Linked DNA regions of Caenorhabditis elegans. The protein of the gene in region 1 purifies or fractionates together with the protein of each later gene. This does not show direct contact. Each region holds a gene or a part of one and is shown on either strand. Other genes may lie near its edges.

Region 1 (3,354 bases):
TTTAAAATTAAAATCAACTTTTGTTTTAATATTTCAGAGAAAATCCGATATAATTAATGTTGAAAAACTTCCTGTCGGTTTCAAAAATGAATACATCGACTTTTACTTGAAACATAATGAATAAAAGATATTTCGAATGTTAAATAAAAAAGAACAAGCGAAAATCCTGCGAAAAAATGAATTCACACTTGTCCAGGTGTAGTACAATACCCTTCGTAAATCTACATCATCGAACCGCGCCGCAGTCTTGCAAAACCAGACCTTGCAAAATTAACTGGTTACTTGTTTTGTTCCGACAGTATATTTAAAATCCAACTTACGACTAGAAATAGCTTGAGCTCAGTGAAAACCATTTCCTCTTGTTCTTCTGGTAAAACATTATGGAATTGACTGAATGGTGTTGGAATGGACATATACCATGGTGATGGTTCATCACAGACACGTACTCCTTGCCATTTGCTCACTAAAAGATACGAAATTAACAAAAAACTTTGCTTTTTCAAATCTTACACAAACTACGGCGAATATCCCTCCACGGCTCTCTATCCTTGTGAGCAGTTCGCATCATCTAAAAATTTAAATTTTACTTAAACGGAATTACTGTGAGCAAGAGAACAAGGGAAAATACACGGAAAATCAAATAACGACTAGAAAATAATTAAAATAAAAAGAAATGACTAAAGATCCGGCGAGAATTGTTGATTTGTGTCTAACACGAGTCCATCTTTCACTTCAATTATGGACTTATTTTCGCGGGAATATTGAAATTTCGGGCTTTTTCCATAAATCCATTTCCAGGCTTTCAACTCATCAAAGATTTTCGATATTTCTGCATTTTTCTTCACTTCCTCTGCAACATTCACAGTTTTTATATGTGATTCTTCGAACAGTTTTCTGAAATTTTTTAATGATTGGAAGTTTTTAGTTGCTCCGTTCACCTATAAGCTTCAACAATGGCTAATTTTGATTGTTCGACATTTGCATTGGCATCATCTTGTTTCAGAAATCCAACAGCCGGAGCTCTTACGCTTCTTGTAGCATTTGATTCGATTTTATCTCTCCATGGAGATTTCAAAGATTTTGATAATACTTGAAGATCCGCACCGACGAGGAGTGTTAGATGGTGATAGGCTTGACCTCTTAAATTATTCACATAACAAGTGTTTAAAATATTTTTTTTAAAAATACCGCGCAATTCTTGCAGCTGTTCCTGAGCATTTCCGTTCTCCTGGATGTAGTTCCATGTCATCACGCTTGTTTGGAACGATTTTAACAGAAAATTGTTGATTTAGAGCATCCGAAATGAACTGGAAATAATAAAATGATATTTTTATTATTTTGAAAAATGATATTAATACCTTCAAGTTTTTTGGCCGACAGTGTTGTGCGTGTGTTGTTAAAAGTGAAATATTCAGATTTCCTAGATCATGATAAACAGTGCCTCCTCCACTGTGCCTTCGGACAATTTGAATATTATTTTTGTTAGCATATGGTATGTTGACTTCAATCCACGGATTTTGATGTCTTCCGATGACTACAGCCGGTCGATTACTCCACATGAGCAGGATTTCCCCGTTTTGAGCGACATTGTGAGTCTGAAATCAAAAACTATAGCAAAGGCACTGAAATTACTGCTGAACTGACCCTGAAAATATGCTCCTCATACGCAAGATTTTCGAAAATGCAGCTTGACGTGGATTTCAGAACTGTGGACAATTTTCCGCGTGATATAGAACACATTTAACAAGAAAAATAAATTAGGAAAAGGTAAGAAAACTGTTTATTTGCAAGATTTGAGAAGAAGAGATTGCTAGCATTAAGGAGACGCAGACATTCAGTAATTGCGCTCCATTTATGACATTGTGGCGCGAGCGTTCAAAACATAAATTTTACTTTTTTTTCATTGATTTTTGTTTGATCTAAATTTCCGAAAGCTACCTGAAAACTGTTTAACGCTTTTCTACTATAAAATCGTCACCTTAAAATCTTTTTTAAAATATAATTTTTGTGTGAATTATAAAAATGCACAGTAGCAGTTTAAAGGCACACTTCTTAGTTCAAAGAAATGGTCTTATCACGATTACAGTACCCAACCTGAACGCGGCGCGAATTCCGGATTTATCCCCAAAACGTTTTTTTCCTCCGTTTTAGGTGGCCATTTGTACCGCGTCCAAAACGCGTAAAAGTCCCCAAATTGTCTTCTTTGTTCGACAATTGCACTGAAAACTGACAAAAAACTAACAACATCGGGACTTTTTCGCGTTTTGGACTCGGCATTGAAACTAATATCGCTGTGTCTTCCTTCCTGATTTATTCGTCTTTATTTTTTGTATTTTTCAGAATCAAAATGGATAATAACGTTGAGGATAAAAAAGAGGCAATGCTCAAACGATTAGCAAATCGACACGGTAACAAGATATTTATACTTTATCTCATTATTTATTTTCTTCCTCTTTCAGAGAAACGCCTTCTTGATCAAGTCAAATCGAACACAAAGAAGATCGATTTGAGAGCAACCGAGCGAGCCTTTTTGGAGTCGAGTCCGACTTCAATGAATATGCGAACTCCTCTCAATCCTTCAATCAGCTCTTCTGTATCAGATTCCCCGATTCTATCATATGATGAGAAAGCCAACAAGCAAATTATTGCACTCGCCACGTGGTGCAACACAATGATGGAATTGGATGTGTCTGAAGAGATGGATCTAGGAGAGTCGAAAGCAGAAGCCTGCAGAAATATCCAAAAAATGTTGAAGAAAAGATCAGATACGTCAGAAGTGGAAAATACACAGGAAAATGCACGCAGGAGATATCAACGGATTTTTGAGAAAAATGATCCAGAAGTTGTGAAGAAAAAGTGCAAGCAGCTTCTAGACGATTCAGGAATGGATGCAAGCATCAAGGATCTTCTGTCCAAAAACAACGTCGCAATCCGAAAAGAACATGCCGTATATAATGACATAGGCCTCCAAACAACTCTTCTTCACACATTTCTATCATTCCATCCTGCTTGGCTGAAAACTGCTCTTGAAGCAATCTTTAACACGAGAATTGACGCTCAACCGAAGCATTTAATGAAAAAACTTTCTCAGTTTTTCCTCGATCTAGTTTTCTCAAATCCGACGATGCTAAAGAACAAGAAATTTGCACAAGGTTCTGGAAAGTAAGTTGCTGATTTCAGAGGATGAACGAGTTCGTTAAAATTATGCCTAATCAAATTTTTGCAGACCGATCATCACTGAGGCTGGCAAAGAAGCTCTACACAAGCATTTTCTGTCCGTCTCGATGAAGCTGATGTTCTTGATTGAAACGGCACACACTCATCGAGTTATCCCGAATCTGACGAGAATCTTCA
Region 2 (3,484 bases), 1.3 Mb from region 1:
TTATCAATAAATCAGAGTTTATCACTGACGAAGATGAGCTTATCACCCTGGTTCAGAATAATTACACACGATCTGTCAGTGATTAAGAATCTTTATCTCAATTTTTAATTTTTCAGTGTAATTCCTGCTATTGTTGATTTTTTTTTCCTTTTGTTGTTGAACTTTTTAAAAATTTAATTTATCGTCTTGTTCTATGTAATATTTCAATTTTCAACGTTTCTTCGTTGTTTTAATATTTATTACTCAATATTCTCAATTCACAATGGAAAATTTTCGACATTCAGTATGGGTGAAGGCTTAGTGGAGCAACGTCAAGCTGACGATAAAGCATCTTGGGATGCTTACTGGAAAGTTCGTGATATCGATTCACGAGGATCCATCTACCCACGATTCCGTTATTATGCCCATAAGGCTTTCGACGCCCCAGCAACTTGGTTCAGAGGTAATTTTTAAAATTCTCAAGTTGGAGAATCATTTAAAGAAGAAGCAGCTTTGAAATTAGATTTAAAACCATTTACAAAATGTAAGAATTGACAGAAAACAAATTTCGTTCAAGTTTATTTACTTTCACCATTTGTTTTAATTCCAAGTAATTGATACTGTCTACGGTTTTATCCAGATTCAAAAAATTTGGGAACTTGTGGTGCAAGTAAAGGTTAATTTCTAATTCCCATATCATTGCTGTAAATTATAATTTTAAACTAGAAAAAAACCAAAGTTATTCGACTACCTCAAGCTGATGTACAGTTAGTAGTTGCAGTTCCACATAATAAATCAACTAGGCAAAACAATCCATTTTAATCTATTCTACTAACTCGTCAGCTTTTCAGAGACTATTGTGCAACCACTCAACAACAAGAACCGTCTACCCTACTATCACCGTCAACTTACACGTGTTCCGGAAATCGACGAATGCGGAGTGAACGACAAGGCCTGCTTCTACGAAGCCAATGAGCAGTACCGTCTTGATAAAATGGTCGATGGATTTATTCTGCAAACCCTCCGCCAACGTGTTGATCGGTGTATGCTTTACAACAATCCTGATCATTCACCATGTGCCAAGGTTATTGAGGATATGGAAGAGAATGAGTTGAATTTCTTCATGAAATACGGAGAGTTGGGAGGAGAATCCGATGTTCGTGATGCTTATATGAAGCAGAAGCATCGAATGATCTGGGAACGACGTCATCCAGAGATTATGGATGAGCGTGCAGCTAAGCTTGCTGATCATAAAGCACGACTTGCTAATGGAGAGTTTGACTATTCATTCTGGAAGAAGGGAATGTTCTATCAAGACAAGAAGAACTATGAGCCACCATATGAGTTCCAAATGAGCAAGTCAGCACTCGAGGGTGACAAGCCATTGTCCAAGGATTGGGAATACTACAAGAAGGTAAATATTCTTTCAAGATTTAATTTTAAAAAAGAAGCTACGAGAGAATCCTGGATCGAAAATTAAAATTTTATATTTTCAGGTCTCACAAGACCCAGAATTCGACAAGGATCAAGGAAAGAAGTCCGACTTCCGTCTCTTCTAATTCTACGCTGTCAATCTTTTCTTTTTCAATGAAATTTTTTAGAACGAATTGTGTTGAGTTTTCTTATTCCGTCGTAACAACTTTTTTTTCTTTTTCATGTTGCGTTCTTTTATTCCATTCAGAAAGTGAATAAATGTAGATTGTTTGATTGATTTATAAAGATTTGAATATGAATTTATGAGAAACGGAAATATTACCAGTCAGCTTTTCTTTTCAAATTAATTTAAATCAAAATTTAACTTTTTTAAGTTTCGGAAATGATACTGACATTTGCACGAAGTCTCTACACACAGGGGCAGTATAACGGAAAAATAAGGTTTTATTTTTAAATTAATTGTTTCTTTTTGAATTTGAGTTTTCAGAGAATATTTTTACTATGTGAGCCACAATGGTTTCCTATTTCTGGACGATTCGAGAATGAAGAATTTTACAGCGGCTTATAAAGGTTTATTTTACAGGAAAAACTGTTAACAAATCGAAATTTCAGATATTCAGTTTCTTAATTTCTTCTACAGAAAGATCAAGGAAAACAAGACGGGAAGATATGAGGTAAAACGCGAAATTTGCGATTTATCAACAAAAATACGGTAGCCGGTCTCGACACGACAATTTTTGTTGAATGAGAAAAGGTGTGCGCTTTTAAAGAGTACTGTAATTAAAAACTGTGATTTCTGCCGGATTTTTTTATTGATGTTTCCAATTCTTTCTATAAAATAATTCGACAGAATCTTAAGTTTTAATCTACAGTAATCTTTAAAGGCGCACACCTTTTCTCGTTTAACAAATATTTGTCGTGTCGAGACCAGGTACCGTATTTTTCACTTCAAAAATGTTGAAATTTCGTTTCTGGGTAATCTGAAAGTGTTCTAGATTTTCGATCAATTCCTATCGAATGCAATTAATTAAAGTTTCATCCATTGAATTGAGCTTAAATACTCAATTAAAAAATCGTGGAGGGAGCTGAAAAAAAATTATATGAAATTTCAGGATACATTCCCGTGGGTAAGCCTTTGTGGAATTGAGCGAAACTTTCTGAGATGCGACGACACTCCACTTGTTTACACGGAACTCGACTCCACTGAAAAAGAGCTCCGAATCGGGCAATCAACCATTTACCATTCGTTTCAAGTAAGATGAAGCACAGATTTTTCAGATCTGTATTCTAAAATTTCAGCCCTCATCACTTTCAATGAATTCAAGCGGCCGTGTTTATCACAAATGTCCGATTGGTGGAAAAGCACTGGTAGCTGACAAATTGACGGATAAACTGTATCGCCGGTTCCGATTTGACGATGACGGCGTTCCAGTCGGATTTCAGTGCGGGGAGCAGATAATTGAGCTTAAGAAATGAAATAAATAATAATTAATGTATATTGTCTGATGGAAAGTATCTAATGAAGTATTTAAAATAAAAATAATGTTAAACGTGAACCCTTTTCAAATTTATTTCCACGCCCTTTGGCGGCCTTTCAAAATCGATTTTTCAAGTTTTCGTTTATTCCCTGATCTTCCGGGAGTTATCTCCTCCACGTTGCATTATGGATGTTTGTAGGATTTTCAATCGGATAGGTCAGTTGCGAGACGTAACATTCTAAAATGAGCTTGTTTGGATGGGTCTTGCCGCGAAAACTTTACGGTAGCATGGAATTTAACGCGTTACCATAAACTTTTGATCGCAACTAGACCCACTCAAATAAATCTGTGCGCCTTTAAGCAGAGAATTAAAATTACAATAAAAATATTAAATATCGATGATCACCCTTTTTCAGTATACTTTTTGGTGGAAAAATCGTTGGGCGATATCTCGAAATTCGACCCATTTGATGTATTGAAGCTCGTCGCATTGTGGGGTGGACGTGTGAGATTTTTTGATAATTGGAAGCACAACCAGAGAGAAAGGCAGAAATGATAGTTTTTCAGTTATGTCTGCTGATTTTCGTGGGCAC

What was found. The genes of interacting proteins can lie anywhere in the genome.
Region 2: the proteins of lipt-1 (region 1) and F59C6.12 fractionate together in Caenorhabditis elegans (co-fractionation; one large-scale study listed by BioGRID). This does not show direct contact.

Annotation. Positions count from the first base shown.
Region 1 is NC_003279.8:9,225,377-9,228,730, reverse strand, and holds lipt-1 (BPL/LPL catalytic domain-containing protein), read right to left. Parts: upstream 1,827-3,354; 5' UTR 1,741-1,826; coding exon 1,645-1,740; intron 1,596-1,644; coding exon 1,359-1,595; intron 1,308-1,358; coding exon 1,189-1,307; intron 1,140-1,188; coding exon 939-1,139; intron 895-938; coding exon 678-894; 3' UTR 569-677; downstream 1-568. Other genes in the region: gip-2 (Gamma-tubulin interacting protein 2), read right to left, coding at 321-463, 511-568; aspm-1 (Calponin-homology (CH) domain-containing protein), read left to right, coding at 2,348-2,408, 2,460-3,162, 3,227-3,354.
Region 2 is NC_003279.8:10,519,076-10,522,559, forward strand, and holds F59C6.12 (UPF0598 protein F59C6.12), read left to right. Parts: upstream 1-1,787; 5' UTR 1,788-1,795; coding exon 1,796-1,854; intron 1,855-1,900; coding exon 1,901-1,983; intron 1,984-2,025; coding exon 2,026-2,087; intron 2,088-2,525; coding exon 2,526-2,666; intron 2,667-2,712; coding exon 2,713-2,889; 3' UTR 2,890-2,952; downstream 2,953-3,484. Other genes in the region: exos-3 (Exosome complex component RRP40), read left to right, coding at 1-86; ndub-10 (NADH dehydrogenase [ubiquinone] 1 beta subcomplex subunit 10), read left to right, coding at 286-442, 831-1,393, 1,476-1,538; dhhc-12 (Palmitoyltransferase), read left to right, coding at 3,077-3,107, 3,308-3,396, 3,459-3,484.